Elephas maximus indicus: one gene and its partner. The protein of the gene in region 1 purifies or fractionates together with the protein of each later gene. This does not show direct contact. Links are inferred from orthologs where the notes say so. Each region holds a gene or a part of one and is shown on either strand. Other genes may lie near its edges.

Region 1 (16,022 bases):
GGGCCTAAGGACTGGTGATCCTCTCAGGTCACCCAGTCCCATGACGGGGGTCCAAGGATAACTGGTACCTTCCAGTTATTAGAACTAAAAGCACTGGGTGCCCATGGTCCATCTGCAGAACCCACCCACCTGCACGCTCCACGGAATACGGACATGCTTTCCTCAGAGACACTCGAGGGACAGTTCTCAGCCCCCTGCCTTGTTCAGAGCATGACCTCCTGCTGCAATCAGATACCAGTACCTGCACCAAACACCCCTGCCCCTCTGAGACTGTAGGGCAGAGCCTGTACTAAACACTTGATGAACAGCTACCTGGACACCTAAGCTGAATCCACACAAGAAAAGTGAATGGACTCCTAGACCGATATACCTGGTAACAGCTCTAGCCATCTGGGGACGGGACATCAGAGCGCCAAAGGCGAAAATAATCAAGCTAGCTCACTCAAGCAACCCATTTGGGCATATCAAAACAAAACAAAGCAAGAAACTGGGATACAGTAGGCAAACATAAACTAACACAGTAACTTATAGATGGCTCGGAGACAACAGTCAATATCAAACCACATAAAGAAACAGACCATGATCGCCTCAACAAGCTCTCAAAACAAAGAATCCAGGGATCTTTTAGGTTAAAGTGCCTTCCTGGAATTACCAGAGGCAGAATACAAAAGCTTAACAAATACAATCCTTCAAGACATCAGGAAGGAAATGAGGCAATACGCAGACCAAGCCAAGGAACACAGATATAAAGCAACTGAAGAAACAAAAAAGATTATCCAGGAACATAATGAAAAATTTAATAAGCTGCAAGAATCCATAGAGAGACACCAATCAGAAATTGAGAAGATTAACAATAAAATTACAAAATTAGACACCTCAATAGAAAGTTAAAGGAGCAGAATCAAGCGGGAAGAAGACAGAATTGGAGACCTTGAAGATAAACCACTTGGCACCAAGTGCTTTTTATGAAAAATCACAAGAATTAAAAAAAAAAAATGAAGAAACCTTAAGAATCATGTGGGACTCTATCGAGAAATAACCTACGAGTGATTGAAGTACCAGAACAGGGAGGGATAACAGAAAATACAGAGAGGATTGTTGAAGATTTGTTGGCAGAAAACTTCCCTGATAATGTAAAAGATGAGAAGATATCAATCCAAGATGCTCATCCAACTCCACGTAAGGTAGATTTTAAAAGAAAGTCACAAAGACATAATCAAACTTGCCAAAACCAAAGATAAAGAGAGAATTTTAAGAGCAGCTAGGGGTAAAGGAAAAGTCACCTACAAAGGACAGTCAGTAAGAATAAGCTCAGACTACTCAGCAGAAAGATGCAGGCAAGAAGGCAATTGGATGACTTAAATGAAGTTTTGAAGGAAAAAAACTGCCAGCCAAGAATCATATATCCAGCAAAACCATCTCTCAAATATGAAGGTGAAATTAGGACACTTCCAGATAAACAGAAGTTTAGGGATTTCGTAAAAACCAAACCAAAACTACAAGAAATACTAAAGGGAATTCTTTGGTTAGAAAATCAATATCAGGTATCAACTGAAGACTAGAACACTGGACAGAGCAATCAGATGTCAACCCAGATAGGGAATCACAAAAATAAATCAAGATAAAAAAAAAAATGCTCAAAACAGGGAAACAACGATGTTATTGTTTAAAAGAAAACCACATTAAAATAATAAAGAAGGAGCAAGAAATGTAGTCATAGACCTTTCATATGGAGAGGAAGACAAGGGAATATAAAGAAATAAAAGTCAGGTTTAAACTCAGAAAAACAGGGGTAAATACTAAGGTAATCACAAAGAAGATTAACTATCCTACTCACTAAAATAATCTACAAGAAAAAAATAGAGACTCATCAGAAACAAATTCAACAACAACAAATAAGAGGAAAAGGCAATATATAAACTACTCAGCACACACAAAAAAATTAAGTGGGAAAAAGAAACTGTCAACAACACACAAAAGAAGACATCAAAATGACAGCACTAAACTCATACCTATCTATAATTACGCTGAATGTTAATGGACTAAATGCACCAATAAAGAGACAGAGAGTGGCAGAATGGATACAAAACCACGATCCATCTATATGCTGCCTACAAGAGACACACCTTAGACTCAGAGATGCAAACAAACTGAAACTGAAAGGACAGAAAAAAATATATCAAGCAAACAACAATCCAAACAGAGCAGGAGTGGCAATATTAATTTCTGACAAAATAGACTTTAAAGTTAATCCATCATAAAGGATAAGGAAGGACACTATATAATGATTAAAGGGACAATATACCAAGAAGATAGAACCATATTAAGTATTTATGCACCCAATGACAGGGCTGCAAGATACATAAAACAAACTCTATCAGCATTGAAAAGTAAGATAGACAGCTCCACAATAATAGTAGGAGGCTTCAACACACCACTTTCAGTGAAGGACAGGACAACCAGAAAGAAGCTCAATAAAGACACGGAAGATCTAAATGCCACAATCAACCAATCTGACCTTATATACAGAACACTCCACCCAACAGCAGCCAAGTATACTTTCTTTTCTAGTGCACATGGAGCATTCTCTAGAAGAGACCACATATTAGGTCATAAAGCAAGCCTTAGCAGAATCCAAAACACTGAAATATTACAAAGCATGTTCTCTGACCATAAGGCCATAAAAGTGAAAATCAATAACAGGAAAAGCAGGGAAAAGAAATCAAACACTTGGAAACTGAACAACACCCTGCTCAAAAAAGACTGGGTTCTAGAAGACATTAAGGATGGAATAAAAAAATTCACAGAATCCAATGAGAATGAAAACACTTCCTATCAGAACCTTTGGGACACAGCAAAAGCAGTACTCAGAGGTCAATTTATATCAAAAAATGCACACACACAAAAAGAAGAAAGGGCCAGAATCAAAGAATTATCCCTACAACTTGAACAAATAGAAAGAGAGCAACAAAAGAAACCCTCAGGCACCAGAAGAAAACAAATAATAAAAATTAGAGCTGAACTAAATGAAATAGGAAACAGGAAAACAACTGAAAGAGTTAAGAAGACTAAAAACTGGTTCTTAGAAAAAATTAACAAAATTGATAAACTACTGGCCAAACTGACAAAAGAAAAACAGGAGAGGAAGCAAATAACCCGAATAAGAAATGAGATGGGCGATATTACAACAGACTCCCAAACTCATTTTATGAACCCAGCATATCCCTGATACCAAAACCAAGTAAAGACATCACAAAAAAAAGAAAATTATAGACCTGTATCCCTTATGAACTTAGATGCAAAACTCCTCAACAAAATTCAAGCCCAATAGAATTCAACAACATATCAAAAAAATAATTCACCATGACCAAGTGGGTTTCATACCAGGTATGCAGGGTTGTTCAACATTAGAAAAACAATCAATATAATCCATCATATAAATAAAATAAAAGACAAGAACCACATGTTTATCAATCAATGCAGAGAAGGCCAATGAAACAAGACCCATACCTCACTCCATGCACAAAAAAACAAGCTCAAAATGGATCAAAGACCTAAATAGAAAATCTAAAACAATAAGGATCATGGAAGAAAAAATAGGAACAACATTAGGAGCCCTAAAAATGGCATAAACGGTATACAAAATATTACTAACAATGCAGAAGAATAGATAACTGGGAGCTCCTAAAAATCAAACACCTATGCTCATCCGCTATGAGTCAGAATTGACTCGATGGCAGTGGGTTGGGTTATGCTCATCCAAAGACTTCACCAAAAGAGTAAAAAGATGATCTACAGACTGGGAAAAAGTTTTTAGCTATGGCATTTCCGATCAGTGCCTGATCTCTAAGATCTACATGATACTGCAAAAATTCAACTACAAAAAAACAAATAACCCAATTAAAAAGTGGGCAAAGGATATGAACAGACACTTCACTAAAGAAGACATTCAGGCAGCTAACAGAAACATGAGGAAATACTCACGATCGTTAGGCATTAAAGAAATGCAAATCAAAATTACAACGAGGTTTCATCTCGCTCCAACAAGGCTGACATTAATCCAAAAAACACAAAATAATAAATGTTGGAGAGGTTGTGGAGAGACTGGAACACTTATACACTGCTGGTGGGAATGTCAAATGGTACAACCACTTTGGAAATCGATTTGGCGCTTCCTTAAAAAGCTGGAAATAGAACAACTACCATACAATTCAGCAATCCCACTCCTTGGAATATATCCTAGAGAAATATGAGCCTTTACACGAACAGATATATGCACACCATGTTTGTTTTTTTGTTCACTGCAACACTGTTTACAATAGCAAAAAGACGGAAGCAGCCAAGGTGCCCATCAACGGATGAATGGATAAATGAATTATGGTATATTCACATAACAGAGTACTATGCGTGGATAAAGAACAACGATGAATCCCTGAAACATTTCATAACGTGGAGAAACCCGGAAGGCACTGTGCTGAGTGAAATTAGTAAGCTGGGAAAGGACAAATATTGTGTAAGGCCACTATTATAAGAACTCCAGAAATAGTTTAAACTGAGAAGAGCATATTCTTTGATGGTCCCGAGAGAGGGGAGAGAGGGAAAAGGGAGGGAGGGGGCATTCACTAATTAGAGAGTAGATAAGAACTATTTCAGGTGAAGGGAAAGACAACACGCAGTACAGGAGAGGTCAGCACAACTGGACTAAACCAAAAGCAAAGAAGGTTCCTGAATAAACTGAACGCTTTGAAAGCCAGCGTATCATGGGCAAATGGTTTCAGAGGACATCTAAGTCAACTGGCATAATAAAATCTATTAAGAAAAAAAAAAGAATACTTTGATATGAAGTTAATAGCACCAGCTTCGAATATTCCCTTCTAGTACTTTACCATTCACAAAAATGTGGATTATATCTGCAGAAGGAATAAATAAATCTTTGTTCAGTAATTTCTGCTGTTGTTAAAAAACGACAAGGGATATGTTCACATGAAGGCTTTATCTGGGTGCCACTGTTTCAATACAAAAGACTAAACTAAGTGTGCACTGGCAGTTGCTACAACTTACTAACCGGTTATGTTCTGTAAATACACTCAAGTCAGTTATTGAATACTTGAAACGTATTTCCTCACAGGAGCTACAACAATTCACCAGCACGCACAGCAGTCTAGAACCTAATAACCACTTACAGAATAAACCACTGACAGAAGCTTCTACAGGAAAATTAACTCAAGTTAATTGAAATTCCTGATTGGGATATTGGGAACATGCCCCTTCTTTGTCTGATCCCTTGTTCTTGTCCTCCCCCTCCCCCTCTCACACACTCTGAGACTCTAGAAGAGTCTTCCCACCAAACAGGCAGTGTGGTCGGGACGTTCTAAGTCACAGGCAGTGGCTCCTGTAGCCTGAGGAAGACTTTTCTAAAAGCCCGATATGAAACCAGGGTGAAGCGACAAGCAGATAGGGCAGCAAAGGACACAGGGAAGGGCAGAAGAAGGAAAGCAAGGGCTGAGGATGGGAGGTGAGAGGAAGGGAGAAGGAACAGAAGATGTGCGCTCACGTGCACGCACGGGGGCAGGGGCTGTTGGGAAAATCCACAGTAAGAGGACTTTTTTCCTCCGCTTCTCACTGCCAGTTGTCGAGTTAAATGCAAAGGATGGTAAAGCTCCTTCTGTAACGAATTTACCTTGGTTGGGAAAAAGATAAAGCAGGAATAGCCCATGTGTGGGGAGACTCCCCTACCGATATGACCACGTTTTATCTTCCCTTAGAAAACAAAGTCACAGGCCACACTGATTTAATAAATGTGCCGGTCTAAAATGTACCAAAGATAATCTTGATATGGTCAGAGACATGTTCTGATTTCTAGTATTGCTTAATTTTATCTAAGATAAAATAAACCCCCATTCCTCTAACAGAGCCATAGGATAAATGAACCAAATAGTAATAAATCTCTGGTTTATTTTCTGATGTAACAGTCTTAGGAGAAAGAGTCTTAGGTTGGCGCTGACAGACAGGACCTGGGTGCAAGAGGGCAGAGAAGTGCTTTATGGCCTCAGCGATAACCGTAGGCTGGGGAGGCTGTGGTACCCATCTTGCTTGCTCTAAAGCCAATTTCGACTCAAGACTAAGCTAAGGACCCCAAAACAGGAGCTCAGTCCATCAAATCCTGACCTAAGAGGGGTTCCGCTGCTAGCTACATCCAACCTGAAGAAGAATGCCCTCATCAAAAGATTCTGACACCATGAGTACCAGATGCTACAATTAGCTCTGCTGTCATCCAGGGATGTTGCAGCCATTGCTGCGACCACTGTACACTAAGAACACAACCACGACTGCTGCCGGCACGGCAGGGGGACAGATTTCAGCACAACTTCCAGCCTAAAACAGACTTGGAGGAAAAGCCTGGCAATCTATGTCTAAAAATTAGTCAATGAAAACCTTATGGATCATAACAGATCACTGTCTGACTCGATTGCTTTGATGTCTCATAACGAGGATTAACCATGGGAGGAGGATATCACATTTAGTGAAGTAGAGGGTGGGTGAGGGAGACCCTTGGTGAGATGGACTGGCATGGCAACCACAATGACAGACTCGACCATGACAGTGATGGTAAGGATGGTGCAGGACCAGGCAACATTTCATTCTGTTGTACATAAGGTCGCCATGATTGGTGTCGATTTGATGGCAGCTACCTCTCTGATAACCCAAAGCTCACTAAATTGATAAGGACAAAGCCTCGGTAATTTACATTTAAAAAGCAGGAATAAAAACAACTGAAATGACAGTCCGCTCAACTGATAATGAATTAATAATAAAGCACCCTTCCCCCAATTTTCAGAAATTCTGCCTGTAAATGTACATAGTAGGATACATGGAATATCGTGCATTATCCACATTTCTTAGAATACTAATTTCAGCCTGTGAATACCAACTCTTAGAAATGCTTAATAATTCCCTTTGTAAGTCACAAGATATAGCACTCAGTCATATGTAAAAATGAGTCTACTGATCTTCATTTGTTAACTGCTGATCAAATAAGATGTGTGTGTGTGCACGTGTGTTAGAGAGAGAGAGAGACAGGGATTTTTAAATACTTCATAAACAGTATTCCTCGGACTACATTCTGGAAAACAAAAAGTTGGAACTTGTAGCCTTCTGACTATGACCTTTGGCTCACAAAACATAAAACATTGTTAATAGGTAAAAAACGAAATGATTCAATATTTAAAATACTATATAGTCTAATGAAACTATTTCTGCAGTTTAATTTTCTAACAGCTTTCAAAGGTACAGCATGGTGAGGTGAAAAAGAACAAGAGTTTTGTACTTATCTTGGACAAGTTATCTTTCTGAGTCTGAGATTCATCTGTACAATACTCCCCAGGGCACTGCTGGGAGAACTGAACATAAACACTAAGGATCGAGGGCTGACATCTGGTTTCCAGCTGAACAGTCAGTAGCCATCCACTTATTCCTTACTGACCTAAAGTATTCCTATTTCAACTGTTCTTTAAGAGAAAATTTAGTTGTTATTTCTACCACAACTGCAAATTTTCAGAAATTAAATAATTCTAGATTTCTCATTTCTTCAGTGCCCCATCCTGATCCCGGCTGTACAAACACTGTCCTGCTGTCAGCATGGGACAAGGCCAGCTGTGTATCAGACAGCACAAGACCCACAACTCACACTGGGGAATAAGGGAGAAAAGCCTATCAGGATGGAGAGGGAAAGACTGTGTAGTGTTTAAAAAACATGTTTAATATTACAATTTAATATTTCAGGGGAAAGACTTATAGCTTTGGTAATCGAAAGCAAAGCTAAACATTTTCTTGGCTAGAGAAGATGGATAAAGATACTGAGACTCAAGCAAAGGAACAGTCCATTGGGGCGTTGTGACGTTTTTATATTGATAAAAAGGAGGTAAATGCCAAAAGAGAAAAAAAGTGTGAGAAACTCTTATCTAGTCAACCTACTAAAAATGTTTACAGGTTAAAGAACAAGCAAAACAAGAAAAGAAAATCAAAAAAGGAGTTCCAAAGAAGTTAATAGACATGTCCAAGTCGGCTCAGAGGGGACTTACAGGCAGATCCTTCTGACTCACGGTCCAATTCTCAGTACATTACACACTGGCTGCGGATAATCAAGAATTAACTGTATCAGCTGCAAAATATGCTTTTCCTACACAATAAAAATTCCTCAAGTGCAGTGGAACAAGTTTCTCATTAGTACCTGCACCCCCTTCCCACGCCGATAAACCGAGGCTAGGTGAAGTAAGGTACCTGTCCGTGACGATGAAGCCTGCAGCACTGAACTTGAACTCAGGGCACCCAAAGCTCCTCCTTCCACCCTAGGAAGCCCGCCCCCGCCCGGTCGCCTAGGAAACGGCTCGGGGAGCCCGTTTGCGGGGACGGGGGAGACCAAGCCTTCCCGAGTTTAAGCTGCGTGGCATCCCGCACGCAGCAAGGAGTTACGGAGACCCACTCAATCTTCACAGCGCTGGCGCAAGATTATTCTTCGGCACCCTTCATGAAAACCTGGGCTCAACTGAACATATCAAAAAATAATTTCACCTTAGCATTTTTAGAAACGAGCCATTTTCAGTGCTTGGAAAACCAGGGGATCGTCCCCTCAAGTGGCCAAAATGCCCATGACGAGAGCTCGCCGGTAAGACAGCCAGCTATGCGGTCAAGGCCAACAGGGCGACCCTGCAGCCTTCCTCTGGTTCCCACCAGCCGCCGAAGCCCTCGGCCACCCCGGCCCGCTCCCGCCGCCTCTCCCGAGGCTCCCGCCACCTGGGGGCGCCACTTCCCTCTCACGCGCTCCCGCCGCCTCTCCCGAGGCTCCCGCCACCTGGGGGCGCCACTTCCCTCTCACGCGCTCCCGCCGCCTCTCCCGAGGCTCCCGCCACCTGGGGGCGCCACTTCCCTCTCACGCGCTCCCGCCGCCTCTCCCGAGGCTCCCGCCACCTGGGGGCGCCACTTCCCTCTCACGCGCTCCCGCCGCCTCTCCCGAGGCTCCCGCCACCTGGGGGCGCCACTTCCCTCTCACGCGCTCCCGCCGCCTCTCCCGAGGCTCCCGCCACCTGGGGGCGCCACTTCCCTCTCACGCGCTCCCGCCGCCTCTCCCGAGGCTCCCGCCACCTGGGGGCGCCACTTCCCTCTCACGCGCTCCCGCCGCCTCTCCCGAGGCTCCCGCCACCTGGGGGCGCCACTGCCCTCTCACGCGCTCCCGCCGCCTCTCCCGAGGCTCCCGCCACCTGGGGGCGCCACTTCCCTCTCACGCGCTCCCGCCGCCTCTCCCGAGGCTCCCGCCACCTGGGGGCGCCACTGCCCTCTCACGCGCTCCCGCCGCCTCTCCCGAGGCTCCCGCCACCTGGGGGCGCCACTTCCCTCTCACGCGCTCCCGCCGCCTCTCCCGAGGCTCCCGCCACCTGGGGGCGCCACTTCCCTCTCACGCGCTCCCGCCGCCTCTCCCGAGGCTCCCGCCACCTGGGGGCGCCACTGCCCTCTCACGCGCTCCCGCCGCCTCTCCCGAGGCTCCCGCCACCTGGGGGCGCCACTGCCCTCTCACGCGCTCCCGCCGCCTCTCCCGAGGCTCCCGCCACCTGGGGGCGCCACTTCCCTCTCATGCGTTCAGCCGGCTCCCCCTCTCCTTCCCATACCTTTGTCCAGTTCCATAAGGGCGGAGTTCGCATCTAGCTCCTGTTCGCCATAGCCGGCATCTGCCAGGAAAGACTTAGTTGAGTTTGACGCCATGACCTGAATAGTTACTTGACTAGCCTATTCAGAAAGGCCGCAAACCCTGCCCCAACCCCGCCATCTTCCTTCACCGCCTTCTCGCGGATTTTCCCTCCGCGCGCTGGCAAGCCGTGTTACGCATGCGCCCTGGCCATCCCCCGGTTCGCCAGCGCCTCTTCGACCCCCCGCGCAGGCGCTCAAGGGGCTCTTGAATTCTGGGTTCCCGCGGACCGGCGAAGAGGAGGCGGGGCTCCGGAGGGGGAAGTGACTCTGCGGCGCCATGACGCCACGGCGGGAGCCAATCAGAGAGCGTGACGTCAGTTTGGCGCGGAGTTTGGTGGCTGGAGCCTGCAGTGGCGGGAGTGGAAGGCAGCGCCTGGTCTTGTTCTTGGGGTGCAGGCTGCGGTTTCTGCGGGACCTAGGGCATTTCAGAGCCTTTTCTTCAACTGCGCGTCTTCCTCTGGCCCAGATGCTCTTCAGTTTGGTGCTCCGCCAGCCCCAGCTTGGCGTCCCGAGAAATGGTGAGTAACGGTCCTAACCGCCGCTCGTGGCTGGGGGTCACCTCCCCGAAACACGACACCCGGGCCCGGCGAGTGTCCCGCGGCGCCAGCAGAGCCTTCGCGCGGGCTGCTGAGGAAAGGTGCTTTCAGCGCCTCGGGGCGGGCCGGAGGGGCGGGGAGCTAACTGACTGACCCCCGGGGCGCTTTACGGCCTCGCGCCTGTGGCGCGCGTTAACTGAGGTGCTGGCGTTGGACAACGTGCGCGGCGCCCCCCACAGCTGTGTGCAGCGTTAACTGAGGTGCTGGCGTTGGACAACGTGCGCGGCGCCCCCCACAGCTGTGTGCAGCGTTAACTGAGGTGCTGGCGTTGGACAACGTGCGCGGCGCCCCCCACAGCTGTGTGCAGCGTTAACTGAGGTGCTGGCGTTGGACAACGTGCGCGGCGCCCCCCACAGCTGTGTGCAGCGTTAACTGAGGTGCTGGCGTTGGACAACGTGCGCGGCGCCCCCCACAGCTGTGTGCAGCGTTAACTGAGGTGCTGGCGTTGGACAACGTGCGCGGCGCGTGTGCGTTAACTCATCCATTGGTCCTAGAACCGATGTCTAGATGATCCACGAATGAGTGGGACGCGCTGCTAAGGAACTTGCTCAAGCAGAAAAGTTAGACCATGTGCTTCTAGAAGGTCAAAAGTTGTCTTTTTTTTTTTTTTTCCTGATTATTACATGTTCATAAAAACTCGAAATTATAGAATGAAAGATCTCCGTAATCAGAACATCCCCCAGAGAGGACCACTGTTGATGGTTGAAGTATAGTATTTTGGGTGTTTTTTTATGCCAGTGGTAATATGTATTGTTATTTACGGAAATGAGATAAAAATGTTTTGTTTTTCATTTTAACGGTATAACTTGGATGTCTTTCCATATTATGTAGAAATCCAACTTATTCTCTACAGCTCTTTCGATTCCTTATAAAACATTGTCAGCAAGAGTTTTGAACTTGGAGTTCGGTGTCTAAAACTTTCTGTATGAAACTTAAACTGATAAGGGAGTTGCTACCTAGGCTAGACTTAGACAAATTAAATGTCACATATTTTAATGTTGACTACACTGGAAGGTCTTCCTTCCCCTTGAAACTCTGTGGAAAACGAAAAGGAAAGAACCTGAGAAGGGAACTTTCTGTATTTAAGAGGAAGGTCTAGGAAAAGGATGTTGGGAGGGAGACTGAGGAGCAGCCCCTCAGCTTCCCGCTACCAGTCTAACACTACATACCATCCCTACTAACTTCCCTCTTAAATATTTTTTTTTGGCTGTTTTCTAAATTCCCTGCTTACTATCTCTCCTAGGACCTTACATGAGAAATTTCTCTGACCTCTGTGTCACGATCGGTAGGTAGGGCAGCACAGTGATGAAGAGCTCTGTCTTTGGAGTTAGACTGAGTTTTAATTCCAGCTCCTCTCCTTGCTATCTGTGTGACCTGAGGCAAGCCCCTCTATCTTGCCACAAATATTCTCCTAATTCTCCAGTCTATCTGTCTACTTCTTCCTCTCCCTTTCTTTCTCCAATTCACAAGAATTCATTCATTGCTACCTGTTAACCACCAGTTGCTGGCTGAATGGTCGATTCTGCCTCATGGCAACCCCATGTGTGTCAGAATAGAACTGTGCTCCATAGGGTTTTAACGGCTGCTTTTTTGAAAGTAGATCGCCAGGCCTTTTTTCAAAAGCACCTCTGGGTGGGCTCGAACCACCAGCCTTTTGATTAGCAGCCAAGCGCGTTAACTGCACCACCCAGGGACTCCTGCTATACGTTAAACACTGAAATTTACAGGACTGTCTTGTTTTCCTTACCCCTTCAGTGTTAGTGTTCCATCCTTGGCTCGTTTTCTTCTTCCACTTACTCTATTAGATGCTCAGTGTCATAACCAGGGCCTCTTCCACTGCTACAGTTTCCCTCCCCTATGCTTTAGACCCATTCCTATAAAAGCTGTGTGGACATCTTCACCCAGATATTTGGTTCCATGATCATCTCAAACTCAGATGCCCAAAACTGAACTGTTTTCCCCAAAACCTGCTGTATTACCTAATTTAGGGATTGGGCTCATTATTTTAAACCAGTCTTCCTAGCCAGAAACTTTGAAATCATCCAAGACTCCTCTATCTTTACTATATACATTCAAAAAGATTCTGTGAAGCCTCTGGACTCTGTCCTGTCTTCTCTATCACCATCGATTCTGCCTCTTCGCTCCATCTTAGACCTGTTCTTTCCTTACCACGGTATTTCCCTGAGTTGGGCCCTAATACCGTCTTATCTGGACTCTTACGTCTCCCAAGTGGCCTTTTAGTTTCCCCCCTCCAGTTTATTCTCCAGATTGCTGCCAGAAATATTTTCAAGAATGGAAATCTGATCACTCCTGTGCATTTTTAAATTGGTATCAAAATTTTTTATCTTAAGTTTAAACAGATACAAAAAATATAAATTTTGATATTGTGAATACTGACATTTAAAATTAAAATGTTATATCCCTTTTTAAATGTATCTGTTGTTGTTAGGAGCCTTTAAGTCGGTTCTGACCTGTAACGACCCTATGAACAACAGGGGACTGCCTGTAGAATGCATTCATACATTACTTATGTAATTAAAAACAAGTTCTAAGAGACAGAATGCAGAAATAACACACATACTTTTAAAAAACAATATCATAAGCAATGATAGAGGAAATTTTGCCTGAGGCATTTTGGGGGAACACTACTGTTCTACTAAAGGCCCCCATCCTACTCAGGGGGTTCAGGGAAGAGGTCCTGAAAGACAGGGAATCAGATGGGGGAACCAGTCCAGGTAAAACGTCACTTCTGTGAAGATCCCTGTAATACACCCATCAAGGAGTAATTTTCAAAAAAGTTAAAAACAGGGTTCTTAATGCAAAATATAGGAGACACATGTCAAGAATTTTATTCTATTCATCAGTTTACCAAGGAACCCGTAAGCTAGAAAGACTTACGAGGAAGGGGATTTATGTAGTCACGTAGCCAAAGGAGTACTGAAATGCATGTGCTTATAGAGAATTTAATTCAAGAGTGTTTTCTTTAAGTTGTGTGCTTTTACTGAACTGGTCTTTAAGTGCATGTACAGGTAAGCCCTGGCTGCCTCTGCATCTCAGCCAACTCCCAGGGAGACCAGAAGCCTTCAGACATTTAAAGTTGGGGGACTCAAGAGGCCACAATGGCTGACCACTCAAAATAAAACAAAATAAAAAAGCAAGTGTCTTAGTCATCTTGTGCCGCCATAACAAATATGACAAGTGGATGGCTTTAACAAAGAGAGATTTATTTCCTCACAGTTTAGTAGGTTACAAGTCCAAATCAGGGCATTGGCTCCAGGGGCTTTCTCTCTCTATTGGCTCTGCAGGAAGGTCCTTGTCTTCAATCCTCCCCTGATCGAGGAGCTTCTCAGGCGCAGGGAGCCCGTGTCCAAAGGATGTCCTCTGCTCCTGGTGCTGCTTTCTTGGTGGCATGAGGTCCCCAGCTTTGTGCTTGCTTCCCTTTCCTTTTATCTCTTGAGAGATAAAAGGTGGTACAGGCCCCACCCCAGGGAAACTCCCTTTACCTTGGATCAGGAAGGTGACCTGAGTAAGGGTGGTGTTATAATCCCACGCTAATCCTCTCAACATAAAATTACAATCAAAAAATGGAGGACAACCACACAGTACTGGGAGTCATGGCCTAGCCCAGTTGACACACATGTTTTTGGGGGACGTGTTTCAATCCATGACAGCCAGTACTGAGGTGTGTTCTGTGTTAGTTGCTGGGGAGTCGGCTCTGACTCTCGTACCAACCCTACGCGTAACAGAATGAAACGCTGCCCGATCCAGCACCATCCTCACAATCGCCGTTATGCTTGAGTGCGTCGTTGCAGCCACTGTGCCAGTCCATCTCATGGAGGATCTCCCTTTTTTTCACTGACCCTCTACTTTACCACGAATGATGTCCTTCTCCAGAGAGTGGTTCCCCCGATTATGTGTCTAAAGTACAAGAGATGAAGTCTTCATGCTCACTTCTGAGGAGCATCCTTGCTGTACTTCTCCCAAGACAGATTGGTTTTGTTCGTCTGGAGGTCCGTGGTATATTCAATATTCGCCAACACCATAATTCAAAGGCATCAATTCTTCAGTCTTCCTTATTCATTGCCCAGCTTTTTCATGCGTATGAGATGGTTGAAAATACCATGGCTTGGGTCTTCAAAGTGACATCTTTGTTTTGTAACACTTTAAAGAAGTGTTTTGTACCAGATTTGCCCAGTGCAATCCAATGTATCGACTAGGTTATAAAAACTACGATGATTTGTGGATTACATTCTTCACTTTTTAAAAATATGAACAAAATCTTCTTTAACTGCTTTACATATTACATAGTTACTTTTCCCCCTTTAACTTTTTTGCATTTTATTTCCCTCACAGAATTTATCCCAATATAATTTAACTTTATGTCCGAAAAGTTCTTTTATTAATCACTTATTATACTACTCTGTGTCAAAAATATTTTTACATTGATGATTTCTTTGTCATAGGGCTCCAGTTGTTAGAAGTTTCTTCTGGACTGAGTTATTACTATGATTATTAGTAGTACACAATTGATCAAAACGGTGTAGATTACTTATTTTGATAAATAATTGTTAAGCAAAAAATCAAATTTCATTGGTAGTACATCTTTTGAAGAGATGGATCTGGGTGAGTGTTTATGAGGTCTTTAACAAAGGAACTATCCAATCGTCTTCTAGTTACAGTCCTAGAAGCATTTGTACCTTGGTCAATGCAAGGTATAAAAGTCGGGGAGTGGAAATGCCTTTCTTTTAGAAAGTATAGAAAGGCAGTGATGATGAGGGAGGGGGAAAGGAAAGCCTCGACCTTCTCAGATCAGTTTTAGAAATATATATATGGAAGTTGAAGATCTGACAGTTGGTTCTCTGAAAATTCTGCCCTTGTGTAGTTCTTGAGAAATTTACATGTAACCCTAGGGGCTAATTGTTCATTGAGGAAAGAATAGGTTTTTCCAAATGGCTGTTATGTGGAAAAGCATCCCAGGTGCATGTTCAGAAGTAGAAAACAGCGTAGCACAATAAGGACCCAAAAGTGACTGATAACATGGAGTGTGTTGTGGGGAGTGCAGAAATGGAGTAGGCGGGAACCAGTCACCAAGTACGTTAGGCTATATACAAGGGTGTTTGAATACCAGTCTGTAGACAATGAGGCAGAATTGAGAGGTCACTGCATAATTGTAAAGAATTAGGTTTTCCAGAGTATATCACTTTCAATTCTACCTAAATTGTTTGAGATTCAACCCTTTTTAATTCATATGTAGTTGTCCCTAGATTTTTTTATAATACATTTTATTTTTTGTTGTTGTAGAGAATATACATAGCAGAACATATACCAATCCAACAGTTTCCACATGTACAACTCAGTGTTATTGATTACATTCTTCAAGTTGTGCAGCTATTCTTACCCTCCTTTTCCAAATTGTTCCTCCCCCATTAGAATAAACTCTCTGGCCCCTAAGTATCCTATCTAATCTTTCCAGAGTTGCTGCTGTCAATTTAATCCCACCCTGGTGGCGTAGTGGTTAAGTGCTACAGCTGCTAACCAAAGGGTCAGCAGTTGGAATCTGCCAGGTGCTCCTTGGAAACTCTGTGGGGCAGTTCTACTCTGTCCTGTAGGGTCACTATGAGTCGGAATGGTAGTGGGTTTGGTTTTTTTTTTTTTTTTTTTTCAGATCTTAAAAGAGCACAATGT
Region 2 (16,792 bases), on another chromosome or scaffold:
TGGATTTGCCAGATTCTACAATTGTGTGAGTCAATTTCTTCAAATCTTTCTCTCTCTGTCTCTCTCTCCTGTTGGTTCTATTTCTGTGGATAATCCTGACTAATAAACTTGCCAAATATAAAAAAATAAGAAGAAGAAAAATGAGAAAAGAAGGATAAAAGAAAGCAAGGGAGATATAAATCACTGGCATTGGACTTCTCATGTGCAGTCCTGGAAGCTAGAAAAGTGTGAAGTAATATTTACAGGTCGCAGAGAGAAAAGAACAGCAGCTCAGTCAAAATCCCATTAAACTGTAAGAGTGATAGAAAAATGTTTGTGGAGATGTGCAGATTCACAAATGTTGCCTGTGTATAGCATCTGAAGTATCACTTGAGAGCAAATCCTACCAAACAATAAACTAATCAAAAGAAAGACCTCATATCAAAACAGGGAAAATGAAGATAAGATGAATTTGTGGTGAGTAATGAATCTTGAATTTATATGAATCTTGAATTTATATAGTTATGTAAATGAATAATGGTAATGTAACTAGGGATGAATGTGTAATGCAAACAGTAAATAAAGGTTCTCAAAATAGAAGAGACATACTGCAAAGGGAAGCCAAATTATTACTGGAATGGAACAAAAAGTACCAATTATCTCAGTGAAACCTATGAATTAGGGTAGAAGGAGCAGAAGTAAATATATTCTAAATGTTTTAATTGGGGGTGAAGAGTTCGAAGTAGAAATATTTTAAATGTCTCATTTATTGAGATGGAATAAAGAAATGGTGAGGGAGTAAAGTGTTCAGAAGGGAGGAAATAATTGATCACTTATTCCCATGTAACAGAGGAAAGTGTTTAATAATGAATGTTAGAAAAAGAAAGGTGATCAATATTTAAGTAGAACACTAGTTAAAGTGAAAAGAAAAGTATACAGAGGAGTGACAGGACTCAGGAATGACTTAGGAATAAAAATATCACTTTAGAAATGAAGACTAAACTAGAAGGAAACCAAGGGTGAATAAGATAATATCTTAGATGAAATAGGAGGGAAAAAGTAGAAATTTTTTAAAATCAAAAAGAAATAAAAGAATGTTGAGGACAAGTGACTAATATTGAAGTTAGGCAAAGAAGATCTAACATATAGATAACAGTAATCTCTGATGAAGAAAACCAAAGGAATAGAATACATATGAAAAATTATAAAGAAAATGTTATTGAAAACATTGAAGCTACATACTGTAAAAGAACACTAAACTATATACTTGAGAATATTGACCCAGAATGACCAACATCAACTTGAGAATATTGACCCAGAATGACCAGCATCAACACATAGTCTAGTAAAATTATTGGACTTTAAAGAAAAAGAATCTTTTGAGCATCTTGGCCAGAAGAGTGAATGACTTATAAGGGAAAAAAATTAGACTATCATCAGATATTTTTCAGCAATGCTTCATGCCACAAGAAATTGCAGTAACAAACTTGATTCTCAAAAAAAATGAATCGAGAGTTATTACATGTAACAAGACTGATTTTCTAACATAAAAGTCACAATCTGTTACCAACATACATGTACGCAGAGAATATTATTTCCATGACCTTCCTGAGAAAATGTATAAAGAACTAGCTTCAGACAACGAAAACTACTACAGAGATATCAGTATAAGAACTAATTGTTATTGTTGTTGTTAGATGTTGTTGAGTCAGTTCCAACTTATAGTGACCCTATAGGACAGAGCAGAACTGCCCAATAGGATTTCCAAGGAGTGGCTGGTGGATTTGAACTGCTGACCTTTCGGTTGGCAGCCAAGCTCTTAACCACTATGCTACCAGGGCTCCATAAGAACTAATGGTGATAAAGGGACAACATACCAGGAGGATATAACCATATTAAATAATTACGCACCTCATGACGGGGCTTCAAGATAACATAAAACAAACTCTAACAGCATTGAAAAGTGAGATAGACAGCTCCACAATAACAGTGGGAGACTTCCAGACACCACTTTCGGTGAAGGACTGAACATCCAGAAAGAAGCTCGATAAAGACACAGAAGGTCTAAATGCCACAATCAACCAACTTGACCTCATAGACATATACAGAACACACCATCCAACAGTAGCCAAGTATACTTTTTTTTCTAGCGCACATGAAACATTCTCTAGAATAGACCACATATTAAGTCATGAAGCAAGCCTTAACAGAATCCAAAAACATCGAAATATTACAAAGAACTAATGGTGAGCATTAAATATTACTTGTAGAACTAAAACTAAATGAGAACCAAAAGGGAGAAAGTATAGCTTGTAAGGGCTATATGTGCTGACAATATATAGAACAATTATAAAAAACGAGGGACAGTGGGGAGAGGAAATGCAGAAAAATATTCCCCTGTTTTCATTAATCATATCAGGGTGTTAGTATGGTTATTCTGAGGCTGTTGTGTGTGTCATGTGGGATGAAGAAAATGAGTAATTCGGGATACTGTCATTCTATCATCCCCTATGTACCTGTGAACCAGAATTCTGAATGAGGAAATACATAGATAAAGATGTAATATAGAAAATGTTAAGTAAAACCACTCTAGTCCTAAACTGGAATTGGAATGATCAGTATGAACTCATGAAGTATTTGATCCTTAAAATATGTATATATTTTCTGGCTCTCTCCTTTGAAGAGGCCCCAGTATGACTAATACGGTAGGAATGTACATGACTATCACTCAGATTATGGTCTTTAAATATCATTCCTCACTACAAGGAACTAGAGCTTCTCGGAGAAATGGCTTATTTGTTGTCTAGTTCAGAAAACACTCAAGATGAACCCACAGCCAATTGCCACCTAGCTCTAGCAACATAGAGTGTGTTAGTTTCCTTGGTTGCTGTAACAAAGTACCAAAACTGGGTGGCTTAAAACAGAAATTTATTCTCTCAGAGATCTGGAGGATAGAAGTCCAAAATCAGCAGGGTTATGCTCTCGCTGAAGGCTCTTGGAGAGAGAGAAATCCTTGCTTGCCTATTCTACCTTCTCGTGGCCCCAGATATTCCTTGGCTTATGGCCGCGTTGACGCCAATCTCTGCTTTCATCTTTACATGGCCAGCTTTACATCTGTCTCTGCATCTGTGGCTCTTCTCCCTTTATAAGGACACAAGTCCTATTGGATTAGTGTCCGCCCTACTCCAGTACAACTTCGTGTTAACCGGTTACATCTACAAACACCCTATTTTCAAGTAAGGTCACGTTCACATGGTGAGGGCAGCTAGGACTTCTATATATATTTTTTGGAGATAAAATTCAACTCATAACTTGAAGAAAAATGTAGAGTAAGGATTTGTTGACAATGAAACAGCAGAATATGTACAATCACCCATGCTCTTCTTCCCGCACAGGGATATATTTGGGCTGGGCATAGGGGACAAAAGTGGAAGATGCTCCAGCAAAAGACCACATGATGACTTCTTATGGGGAAGTTGTGAGGAGGCAGGCGCCATCTAGTTGAGTACGTAACAGCAGGAAAATCCCTAGTCAGGGAAATGGCCTTATTAGACCAGAGTTTAGGTGTTGTTGGGTGCCATCAAGTCAATTCTGACTCACAGCGTCCCCATGTGACAGAGTAGAGCTGACCCATAGGGTTTTCTAGGCTGTAATCTTCACAGAAGCAGATCACAAGGTCTTCCTCCAGGGCAGCCACTAGGTGGGTGTGAACTGCCCACCTTTCAATTAGTAGCCTTTGTGCCACCAGGGGTCCTTAGAATTTAGCTAAAGGAGTTAATATACCAATGGGGTTGGCATCTGCTGGAACAATGCTTCTTAAACAAAATTACTTGGGGATTTTTTTAACATACAGATTTTGATCCAGTAGGTCTGGGCTGGGGCCAAAGGTTTTGCATAGTAAAAATTAGCTAGAATTTGTGCATTTTCTTTAAATTTATTCAGATGTGCCTAGATAAGTCCTTGTTAAATAACTCAAAGGAGGGAGATAATAATCCTCCACTGCCTTCAGGTTTGTTTTTCCTCACTGCTATAACTAAAACCTAAAAATATGTGGTATTCTCTTAGAGGTTGGGCAGCGGGAATGAGCAGGCTAGAAAGAGGAAGCCTTGTTAAAATTGCTGCCTACGAAAACTAGGAGGGCAGAAAGCCTTCCTCTTTAGCTTGTAGCACTAGTGCAATTATCTGGAAAGAGCTAGTTTGTATGTGTGACTGCTTTTTGCTGCTTTTAGCAAGGTATTATAAGTCAAGTTTGAAGTCAGGGTGAGATGGAAATAAAATATCCAGAAAATCTAGGGCTTCACCAAATTGAAAAAGCCACCTGCTTGTACAATCTTTTTTTTTTTTTTTTAAATTTTGTTGTGCTTTAGGTGAAAGTTTACAGCTCAAGTTAATTTCTCATTCAAAAATTTATACATCTATTGTTTTGTGAAATTGGTTGCAATCCCTACAATAATGACAGCACGTTCCCCTTTTCCATCCCGGGTTGCCTGTGTCCATTTGTCCAGTTCCTGTCCCTTCCTGCCTTCTCCTCTTGCTTTTGGGCAGGAGCTGCCCATTTGGTCTTGTGTATTTGATTGAACTAAGAAGTACATTCCTCATGTGTGTTATTTTTTATTTAATCTTTTGTCTAATCTTTGTCTGAAAAGTGGGCTTTGGGAATGGTTTCAGTTCTGGGTTAGCAGAGTGTCTGGGGGCCACGGTCTTGGGGGTTCCTCCAGTCTCTGTCAGACCAGTTAGTCTCGTCTTTTTTCGTGAATTAGAATTCTGCTCCACATTTTTCTCCCATTCTCTCTGGAACTCTCTGTTGTGATCCCTGTCAGAGCAGTCATTGGTAGTAGCCAGGCACCATCTAGTTTCTCTGGTCTCAGCCTGGTGGAGTCTCTGGTTCATGTGGTCCCTTAGTCCTTTGGGTTAATATTTGCCTTGTGTCTTTGGTTTTCCTCATTCTCCTTTGCTCTGGACTTAATGAGACCAATAGATGTATCTTAGATGGTCACTTGCAAGCTCTTAAGACCCAAACGCTACTCACCAAAGTGGGATGTAGAACATCTTTATGAACTATGTTATGCCAATTGATCTAGGTATCTCCTAAGACTATGGTCCCCAACCCCCGACCCCAGCTACTTGGTCCCTCAAAGTATTAGGATATGTCCAGGAAACTTCTATACTTTTGCTTTGGTCCAGTTGTGCTGACTTCCCTACATTGCATGTTGTCCTTCCCTTCACTGAGGTTGACACTTGTCTATTATCTAGTTAGTGGTTTCCCTTCCACATCCTCTCCACCCCTGTAACCATCAAAGAATGTTTTTTTCTGTGTGTAAACCTTTTCTTGAGCTCTTATAATAGTGGCCTCATACAATATTTGACTGACTTTTTTCAGTCAGCATAAGCCTCTCCAGATTCATCTGTGTTGTGAGATGTTCCCCAGATTCATTGTTGTTCTTTACCATTGCATAACATTTCATGTATGTGTATGTACCAAATTTATTTATCCATTCATCTGTTGATGGGCATTCAGGTTGTTTTCATCTTTTTGCTATTGTGAATAGTGCTGCAATGAACATTGGTATGCGTATGTCTATTCACACTGTGGCTCTTATTTCTCTAGAGTATATTCCTAGGAGTGGGATTGCTGGATCGTATGGGAAAAATTTTTGACTACGACATATCTGACAAGGGTCTAATCTCTAAAATCTACAAAATGCTTCAAAGGTTATGAACAGACACTCACCAAAGAAGACATTCAGGTAGCCAACAGATACATGAGGAAACGCTCGTGATCATTAATCATTAAACCAAAAAACCAAACCCATTGCCATCGAGTCGATTCTGATTCATAGAGGCCCTAAAAGACAGAGTAGAACTGCCCCATAGAGTTTCCAAGGAGCACTTGGTGAATTTGAACTACTGACCTTTTGGTTAGCAGCTGTAGCTCTTAACCATTATGCACCAGGGTTTCCCAGTAGCCATTAGAGAGATGCAAATCAAAACTACAATGAGATACCATCTCACCCCAACAATACTGGCAATAATACAAAAAATAAAATAAATAAATGTTGGTGAGGTTTCAGGGAAATTGAAACTTTTTTTTCCCCCAAAAATTCTATAATCTGTGTTGTCTAGTAAAATAGCCACTAATCACATGTGGCTGTAAACACTTGAAATGTGGCTAGTATGACTGAGGAAGTACATTTTTTAAATTGTACTTTAGATGAAGGTTTACAGAACAAACCAGCCTCTCATTAAACAACTAGTACACATATTGCTCTGTGACATTGGTTGCCAACCCCACGACATGTCAACACTCTCCCCCTCTCAACCTTGGGCTTCCCAATCCCAGCTTTCCTGTCCCCACCTGCCCCTGCCCCTAGGCTGATGTCCCCCTTCAGTCTCTCTTTTTTTTTTTTTATTTTTTATTGTGCTTTGAATGAAAGTTTACGAATCAAGTCAGTCCCTCATATAAAAACTTATACACAATTTGCTATCTTCTTCTAGTGAGACAGCACACTCCTCCTCTCCACCCTGTATTCCCCATGTCCATTCAACCAGCTCTTGTCCCACTCTGGCTTCTCATCTCGCCTCCAGACAGGAGCTGCTCACATAGACTCATGTGTCTACTTGAGCCAAAAACCTCACTCCTTACCAGTATCATTTTCTGTTTTATAGTCCAGTTCAATCCCTGTCTGAAGAGTTGGCTTTGGGAATGGTTCCAATCTTGGGCTAACAGAGGGTCTGGGGACCGTGACCTCCGGGGTCCCTCTAGTCTCATTCAGACCATTAAGTCTAGTCTTTTAATGAGAATTTGAGATCTGTATCCCGCTGTTCCCCTGCTCCATCAGGGATTCACTGTTGTGTTCCCTGTCATGACAGTCACCCATTGTAGCCAGGCACCATCTAGTTCTTCTGGTCTCAGGCTGGTGTAGTCTCTGGTTTATGTGGCTCTTTCTGTCTCTTAGGGTCATCTTTACCTTACGTCTTTGGTGTTCTTCATTCTCTTTTGCTCCAGGTGAGTTGAGACCAATTGATGCATCTTAAATGGCTGCTTGCTAGTGTTTAAGACCCCAGATGCCATTCACCAAAGTGGGATGCAGAACGTTTTCTTAATACATTGAGAAAGTACATTTTAATTTTAATTAAAATTAAATGATCATGTGCCTAGTGGCTACTGTACTGAATGGCACAGCTATGGAAACTTGGTTTTAGGTATTGTTTGGGTGTGTCTGTTTGGGTTTTGCCCTAATTCCTAGGGTATAGCCTTTCGTCCTGGAATGTGGTCCTTACTGCAGCCTTGGCTGCTGATCTTGGTATTCATCGATCTTTGAAGCCTATGAGCAAAAGCCCTGCTCTCTGGCCTGCAGATCTTGGGTTTGCCAGCCTCTGCTGCTTTGTGAATCAGGAGAAGCCTCTATGATAATCCACAGACTTGGGACATTCTAGCCTCTACATCTGTGTGAGCTATTTCCTTGATATAAATCTCTCTCTCTCTCTCTTTTTTTTTTATATATATTTATACACTTTACTGGTTTTGCTTCTCTAGGGAACCCGGCCTAAGACATTTACAAATTTGAATGCCCTTTATTTCTTTTTCTTGCCTATTGCTCTAGCTGGAAACCCTGGTGGTGTAGTGGTTAAGTGTTACGGCTGCTAACCAAAAGGTCAACAGTTTGAGTCCACCAGGCGCTCCTTGGAAACTCTCTAGGGCAGTTCTACTCTGTCCTATAGGGTCGCTACGAGTCAGAATTGACTCAACAGCAATGGGGTTTTTTTATTGCTCTGGCTAGGACTTCTAGCACAATGTTGATAAGAGTGGTGATAAAGGGAATGCTTGTCTGGTTCCCATTCTCAAGGGGAATGCTTTCAGTCTCTCTCCCTTTAGAATGATGTTGGCTGTTGGTTTTGTATAAATGCCCTTTACTATATCATGGAATTTCCCTTCTATTCCGATTTTGCTGAGAGTTTTTGTCAGGAATGGGTACTAGACTTTGTCAAATGCCTTTTCTGTGTCGATTCATAAGATCATGTGGTTCTTTTCTTTTGTTTTATTTATGTGATGGATTATGATGATTGATTTTCTAATGTTGAACCATCCCTGCATACCTGGTATGAATCCCACTTGGTCTTGATGTATTTTTTTTTTTTTTTGATGTGTTGGACTCTACTGGCTAGAATTTTGTTAAGAGTTTTTGCACCTATGTTCATGAGGGTTATGCCTGACTTTGGTATCAGGTTATGCTGGCTTCATAGAATGAGTTCAGGAGTATTCCTTCCTTTTCTACACTCTGAAATAGCTTGAGTAGTACTGGTGTTAGCTCTTCTCTGAAAGTTTGGTAGAATTCTCCAGTGAAGCCATCTGGACCAGGGCTTTTTTTGGGGGGGGGAGGGGGAGTTTATTAAACTACTTCTTCAATCTCTTCGTTATGACTCTGTTTAATTTTTCTACCTCATTTGTGTTAGTTAGGTAGGTAGTGTGTTTCTAGAAATTTGTCCATTTCCTCAGGGTTTTCAAATTTGTTGGAGTACAGTTTTTCATAGTATTCTGTTATGATCCGTTTTATTTCAGTTGAGTCTGTTTATGCAGTCTTAAGCAGCAGGAGAGAAGGCTTAGTTTAAACCATTTCTCATGGCCCATTAAGACTTCTGTAACCACAAACAAAAAATAATAGAAAACAAAGATAAGCAAGCTTGCAGCAAAAATAAAATTAATAAAGTTCTCAGAAGCCTCTCGTTTTAGATGGTTCAAGGTTTCCTCCATTAAAACGAGAGCAATAAGGATAGGTTGAGCTATGGAAGCAAGGAAATTCCACAGGTTGAAGAACTATACCTAGAAAGAACTTCAGTGTGGTTACTGGCACATGAAACTATCTGGAAGCAAACAGTCAGATCATACTACATGTTCAATGGAATAGTATTAAAACACAACAAAAAATGGACAAGCCTGGCTTACAACATTCCTCAGTTGATCAAGTTCTAAGGCATCACCCAAAGAGGGCATACTCTGCAACATACAGCTAACTTGTAAAAGGAAAGCAAAGCTTGAGCCCACAGAATAAAATGGGCAATGGAGATCTTCAGAGAGCAAAACCAGGGACTAACCAAAGAATTTATTCCACTACCAGGGCACTGTTGTTGTTAGGTGCCATCAAGTTGATTTCGACTCATAGCAACGCCGTATGACAGAGTAGAGCTGCTGGGTAGGGTTTTCTAGGCTGTAATCTTTATGGTAACAGGTTAGTATTCTACCACTGCTATGGACCAGTAACTACCATGTTTCTCATTCAGTAACTGTGGTTATCCTCTTCCTACCCCACTATTGTATTATATTGTGTTGTATGTGTGTGGGCATGGGGCAGACAGCTTTTTTTTTTTTTTTAGTGTACAAGTCTCTAGACCATGAAAAAGTCATAACACAACTTCATAGAAAGGATTGTGCATCACCAGATATCCTAGATTTTAAGCTGGATATAGAAACCGAATAGGAAATTGAGCATCTTTCCTTAGTCAGGGAGAATAAGGATGTTCTGCTGTGAGAAGGATATACACAGATACTTGTCAGAGGGAAGATTGTGGTAGAGACTGCAGATCGTCCATCCAAATTCACTCATTCTTTCCTTCTTGGGCACAAGGCTGCCCAATTGGAAGCTAAATTTCCAGTTTTACTGTTGCTTGGCATAGTGATGTGACTAAATTCTTGCCAACAGAATGTGACCTGAATTGGTATGTGCAGTCTCCCCATTACTTGCTTAAAAGGAAATCCTTGTTTCGGTCAAGCAATGCATTGCATTGGGCAAATCTGCTGCAAGAGACCTGTTTAAAGGGTTAAAAAGCAAAGATGTCACCTTGAGGACTAAGGTGCGCCTAACCCAATCCGTGGTACTTTTCAGTCGCCTCATACGCGTGTGAAAACTGGACAATGAATAAGGAAGTCTGATGAAGGATTGATGCCTTTGAATTATGGTGTTGGCAAAGAATATTGCATATACCATGGACTGACAGAAGAACAAATAAATCTGTCTTGGAGGAAGTACCATCAGAATGCTCCTTAAAAAGGAGGATGGCAAGACTTGGTATTACGTACTTTAGACATGTTATTAGGAGGGACCAGTCCCTGGAGAAAGACATCATATTCGGTAAAGTAAAGGGTCAGCGAAAAATACGAAGACCCTCGACAAAATGCACTGACACACTGGCTACAATAATGGGCTCAAACAGCAGCGATTCTGAGGATGGCGCAGGACTGGGCAGTGTTCTGGTATACATAGGTCGGTATGAGTCGAATTGACTCCAGGGCGCCTAACAGCAACAAAAGTAGCAGTCTGCGATGAATTTTAAACAAAAATAACTCGTTCTTTACCAGAAGTGGTTTAAGAATCGCTGCCTTAAAGACCAAGGAACAGTAAATCACAGATACAAAGACACAAAATTTAGCGATGCGGGCACTCGGTGAGTTGCACAAGCGGCACACTCCTTTGGAGTTCATCAGCCAATCCGAAGTCGAGGAGGACGGCGTCGCCCGGGTCTGTGGGCGAGGCCTGGGCGGGTCCCTACCGTGAGGCTTGGAGTTTCGCTTTACTCAACTCTGAGGGCTAAGCTAGCGCAGGCTGCCGCACACATTCACTTCCGGCGCTCTGGCCGACTCGCGCGCTACTCTGTGGCCTCTCGGGTTCCCTCTAGCTGCATTCTGGAGGACCGCGCTCGGTTTCTTTTTGGCGGCGGGAGGCCCCGCAGCCGCGGCTGAGCTGGAGGAAAGATGGCGGCAGCGGTGCGGCAGGATTTGGCCCAGCTCATGAATTCGAGTGGCTCTCATAAAGATCTGGCGGGCAAGTGAGTGTTTCCCAGGGGCACGGGAGTAGAGGTGGCAAGGGAAGCCACACGACTTGTTGTCCTTGTACTGACGGCGGCTCTTGAGTGTCAGGCTAGGAGCCGGCCTGAAGACCGAGGGGGCGGGCCTGAGGTCGGTTAGAGAGGCAAATGTTGGGAGCAGCAGAAAGCTGGAGGGGACCTTGTGCAGGAGCCCTCGGGGCCGTAGTCCTGGGGTGATTGTCAATTTATTCAGTCCTTGATAGCACCGTTACAGGCCTCTTGGAATCCTGGAAGCCTGGTCTGCAGAACGGTTACTTCCAAGGCCTTCTCAGCCTCTTCTTTTCGCTGGCCGGCCTCTCACACCGAATTCTGGCTTCTCTTTGGAACTCCCCCCACCCCCCCTTTTTTTTAAATTGAGGAAAATTCGTATTTTGGAGCCTTGCTTAAGAATTTCTCGGGGAAATAGCTTCTTCGGGTTGACTGAGGCTGAGGAGGTATGGCCGCTATCATGTCGCCCAAAATCACTCGGAACATCTGTGAGTTCTTGTATTTTTGGTGCTCTCTCTGCCACCAGCTCTGAAGAAGAGGGAATATATTTCTGTCACATAGGCGGAGTGCCCTCATAACGTGGGTCTGGATGTCTAGTGTAGTGATATTTGCAGGAATCTGGATTGTTAGAATTCTGTCGGAATTTGTGTAGAAGGCTTTGGTCCACTCCAAGTTAGAATATAAAAATTGTGACAGGTGTTTGCCCCTCACTGCCCTACAGTCAGTTGTTAAACAGTATACATATATCTACTCATTCCCTGTTTCCCTTGTGGATTTCACAGTACTGCTCTTCTGTAATAAACACGCATTCTGTAAGAAGTATGCCTCTCAAGTTGACCCTAAAATTTACATTCTGACAACTGAGATCACTTCGATTTATATTAATGATATACACCTGCCCTAACCTGGATATTGAGATCTTTTTTATGTACCTAGTCTGTGCTGCCTTTCCTCTGGTGGTAAATACCTGCTTTTATCAGTAGAAACTTAGCTGTGTATCTTGGGCTTAACTACTTTGTGCCCCTATTTTCCCATCAGGGAAATGGAGATAATTATAGGACTTATTCATAGGATTGTTGGAGGATAAAGTGAGTGTGTGTGTATCACTTAAAATCAGTACCTGACAGAAAGCGCCATAAGATTAGTACTATTATTAATTAAGCAATCAGTACATACATACTGACTTACTCTGTAGGTTGGAAATATGTTGAATATTGTCTTCATGGCTCAATCCTTTTCGAACGTAATTTTTATAGATTCAGATAAAAGTAAAACTAGCTTATATTTTTCTCCATGCTTGCTTGGTTTTTATTTTGTTGAAGAAAAATATGTGCACTAGTTATCAAAAGAGATACTGCTTTTCAAAAATTTGCAGATTTCTTGAATTAAGCATTTACTTCCAAAGCTTTGAAATGGAGGTAACAACAGTACTGATCTCATTAGGGTACTTCAGTTATTTATTGCTTTGTAGCAAGCCAAAATGTACTAGTATAAGGCAACTATTTAATATTTCTCAGGATTCTGTGGGCTGAATAAGTGTTCTGGTCTCTGCTGGACTCATATAGATGCAGTCAGTTGGCAGCTCAGCTGGGGCTTGGAGGGTCTAAAATGGACTGATATCTGGCTGTTGACTGGGTCATTGTGTGTGTGTCTCTCTCTTTTCTTCTTCTCCTCTTTACATGTTCTGTCCTTTAGTGATTTAACTGAGACTTTCTTACACGGCCAAGGTAGCATTCCTAGAGGATGAGTGGAAGCTGCAAGATCTTAAGGCTAGCCTTGGAAGTTTTACATCAGTTCTCCAGTAGTGGTCAAAGTAAGTCACAAGACCAGCCTAGATTCAAGAGGAGGAGAAATGGAGTCTGCCTCTTCTGGTAGGAGCAGCAGGGTTACTTTGCAAAAGAGCATGAACAGAAGGAGACGTTTTGAAGGCCATTACTGTAACAATTTACCATGTGGGGTTATTGTGCAGATTAAATAAAATAATGCATATAGAGCTTTTAGCCCTTTCGTTGTTGTTATTTGCTGCCAGTCACATAAGTGCTTGGTAACTGGTAGTGCACTGCTAGCTAGCAACTCCTTCAGAGTTTCTTTATTTTCAGCAGGTACATATTCTGTCCACCTTCCAGCAGGAATGAAATGTCTTCCTATTTGAGCAAGAATGTGTCAAGATCTTTATCTTTGTAACAGAACAGTTTTGTGGGATACATGCTTTATGAGAGAAACACTTTTGAAATAGAACAGTTGTTTTAGGGTTTATGCTAGGAGCTAGACAGCAAAGGATTCTGTATTAGTGAATAATAGAGTAAGTTGGTTTTCTACTTCTCTGCTGGGTTCAATAATTCATTGCAGTGGCTATATAGAACTCACAGACCATACTTACAATTAATGGGGCTTGTTAGGGAAGTGACATGTTACAGTTCAGGATCAGGATAAACTTAGAGGTAACAGGAGCATTGCTCCAGCCGGGCCCTGTTTGGCTTCTTTTTGGCTGTGCCTGCAGGCAGGCCTCTGGCCATCTCCAGTGTTACGCTGTCTGTCTCCTGGGGCTAGGAGGTTCTCAGTGCAGGGACCCAGTTCCAAAGGACATGCTCTGCTCCTAGCTCTTCATCTTGATGGTAGTGAGGTCCCCCTCAACCTCTGGGATTGGTTCTTTTTAAGCCTAGAGGGATGACAAAACTGACCAATCCCCTTGGTGAGTGGCAGGCACCTTATTTGCATATGAAGCCAATCCCAGCAAGAGTTTTACATACCTTATTTGCATAGCTCCACCCAGTCATTTTGGGGGAGTTATAAGACCATGGCCAGAAAGGCCGTACAAAAAGAGAAACTCATTGCCCTGCAGAAAGAATTTGAGTATTTTTAAAAGGGAGTTATATTAGGTTGAACCATATGAATATTAGGATTTTTTCCATAGTTCAACCTAATAGAATATAGAAAACTTATTTACCTAAGGTAATACACTAATGTTGTTTAGAAAAGTAGAATTCATAGATAAGATTAAGTATGGTTTCCAAAAACCAAACCCAGTGCTGTTGAATCAATTCTGACTCATAGTGACCCTATAGGACAGAATAGAACTGCCACCCAGAGTTTTCCAAGGAGTGCATGGCAGATTTGAACTGCCGACCCTTTGGTTAGCAGCCGTAGCACTTAACCACTACGCCACCAGGGTTTCCTAAGTATGGTTTATTCACCCTTTTTTTCCCCCTAAATTTTATTGTGGTCAAATATACATAACATAAAATTTGCAATTTTAAACATTTTTAAGTGTACAATTCAGTGGCATTAATTAAATTCACAATGTTTTCATTTATTTACCTTTTGATGATTATCTTATTATTTTTTTAAACCATAGTTTTCTAGAATTAACTTTCATGACTTTTTTTTTTGTTTTAATGGTAGGGAATTTTGTCATTGCTGCAGCCTCAGATTCAGATTCACTTCTCTCTTGGTAGGCTGCTTTAGTTGGTAGAAAGCAAATTGCCTACTATTGCTTAAAGAGGCACACTTCATTTATAGCTTATGGTAGCCACTAGGGAACCCTGGTGGCACAGTGATTTAAGAGCCCGGCTGCTAACCAAAAGGTCAGCAGCTCGAATCTACCAGCTGCTCCTTAGAAACCCTATGGAGTGGTTCTGCTCTGTCCTAAGGGGTCACTGTGAGTTGGAATCTACTCGATGGCAGTGGGTTTGGTTTGGTAGCTACTAGGAAATGATCTCTGATCCTCTTACTTACTTTGAACCGTGCAAGCAGAGTCTCTGCAGAGCACAGGCTGGCCATCAAGTGAACCCTGTGGAAAACCCCACTCTTCAGGCTTAATTTAATTTTCCTGCTTCCCTATTCTCCCAGATTGCTAAGGACAAGTAACCAAGATTAATTATTAGCCCTACGCAAGTGCTTTACCTGAAGAGGAATGGGATAGTAGAAAACCAGAATTCTTTACATAGCAGTCCTCTTATGTAGGAAGCTCTAGCCACTTTAGAAGGAGAGATCTGTTATCTTTATTAATTTTTAATAAATTGGAGTCAGCGAGGAATGGGACTGGTGGTGGAGCTAGTGTTTGGAAACCAATATATTTCCACTGGGGAGAAGATGGTAGCTGGAAATTAGCTCCAGTGTGTGTCTTTTTTTCACTCTTTGCCATACTTCTGGAAGTATCTGTAAGACATAGAGAAGCTAGAGGCATGTAATATTCTCCGGCCACTTTTCCTTTTCCACTTGGAATATTCTTACCTAAGGAGAATTGCTGGGTGAAAAAAGGCTGTAAAGTTTTTAAAGGCTTGTGCAGTGCAATGAATTGCTTAATATGGCCCTTTTAGCCATAGTATTTGTAACTCCCACCAAGTGACTGGGTGGGACTATGCAATTGAGGTGTTCGTGGCCCACCACTGGGATTGGATAGCTATCTAATAATGTAAATAAGGTGCATGGCACCCTTGTGGGGGTGGGTCCATGCCAACGAGGTATTTGGAACCCTATCAAGGGGATTGGCCAGTTTTGCCATCCTGCTAGGCTTAAAATGAGCCATTCCAGAAGTGGGAAGAGAGGATCTCAACACCACCAAGAAGGAAGAGCCAGGGGTGGAGTATGTCCTTTGAACCCAGAACCTTATGTTGATAACCTCCTAGATCCAGAAGGCAGAGAGAAGAGCTGTAACACAGAAGACAGCAAGAGATGGCATCATGAGATGGCAGGAATCAGGAGATCAGCACCAGACAGCTGTGGTGGGGCTTCCTGGCACACAGAGTGTGAAAATCGAGTGCCTTCAGGTTTGCGGCTTAGTGGTAGAGTGGGATGCCTTGGGGCACTTATTGGCAGAGCCAAAAGACTGTTGTAACACTTGCTTGAGCAGGACAGAGGCCGGGCCGAGGGGCCAGAAAGAGGTGTGCCTGAGGGCACGGCTGAGAACATGCTGTCCTGATTGAAGAAGTGTATCCTGAGCATTCTTGAACCTGAATTATAACCTGTTCCTGCCCCAGTAAACTCCATAATCGTGAGTGTGGTATGTGAGTCTTGTGTGGCCATTGTAGCAAATTATTGAACACGGTAAAGAATTAGAGAGTGCCATCGGAGGGATGGTTGGTGTCAGAATTGGTAAAAAAGATTGGAGATTGGAGGCATGCCTGATCTCTACCACTTAAGAATCATCTTTGGGCTATTGCTGGTGATTCTCTCCTTCCTTGTGAAGTTAGAGGAAGTCAGATGCACCCACCACACCACTTTTGTAGCTTGGTATGTATTGCCGTATTGCATGTCTTGTGTCATCACACTGTAGCCAGTATCAAGTCTTATTTAAAAAGGAAGAAAAAAAGCTTTGTCATTATGGAAGGCAATGAATAAATAAACAAGGATATCTTATTCCTAAATAAATAATTTTTAAAACTAAATTACTCCTTCCTGTGGTATAGGAGTAGAGTTCCTTGAGAAAAGAACTTTGTTTAAACAATAAACATTGAAGTATGAAAATAAACTGTTTTCTGTAGTTACTATAGGAAATCAAATATATTGTGCTATTAGCAAACTGGTAGGAAATTCCACTAGCTTTTAAAAAGTAGAGGTAACTGAAAATAGGTAATGTACTTTGGTGAAGCATTAAGAAATAAAATACTAAGACGGTTGATTATTTGCGTATTTATTAAAATTCTTAAGGTTTACATTTAGATCTGACCGGTTAAGATAATATAGATATAAGAAAACATAGGTAGGTCAGGATGATGTCATATAATGTATGTGTAGAAGTTTCTGGTAATTTCTTGTAGTTATCATCGGCTGAATCATTGCTCCTGAATAGAATCTTAAAATACTTGAAAGAGCCTTTCGAAGCCTGCCTTAAAACATCAGGAGAGGAGAAGAGCCTTGAGAGGGAGGATTTGTGTAGATAGCTGTAGTGATAGCCTGTCTATTTACCTGGTGAAAACCTACTTGGTTCTTCAGAACTTCAGTTCAGATATTTGTTTTTCCAGAA

The links.
Region 2: the proteins of DTL (region 1) and COPS4 purify together in Homo sapiens (affinity purification with mass spectrometry; 3 studies listed by BioGRID). This does not show direct contact. The link is inferred for Elephas maximus indicus from reciprocal best matches to the Homo sapiens genes DTL and COPS4.

What each region holds. Positions count from the first base shown.
Region 1 is NC_064842.1:631,489-647,510, forward strand, and holds the start of DTL (denticleless protein homolog), read left to right. Parts: upstream 1-10,086; 5' UTR 10,087-10,207; coding exon 10,208-10,259; intron 10,260-16,022. Other genes in the region: INTS7 (integrator complex subunit 7), read right to left, coding at 9,663-9,756. UniProt on the Homo sapiens protein: Substrate-specific adapter of a DCX (DDB1-CUL4-X-box) E3 ubiquitin-protein ligase complex required for cell cycle control, DNA damage response and translesion DNA synthesis.
Region 2 is NC_064823.1:73,287,018-73,303,809, reverse strand, and holds the start of COPS4 (COP9 signalosome complex subunit 4), read left to right. Parts: upstream 1-10,595; 5' UTR 10,596-10,726; coding exon 10,727-10,800; intron 10,801-16,792. UniProt on the Homo sapiens protein: Component of the COP9 signalosome complex (CSN), a complex involved in various cellular and developmental processes.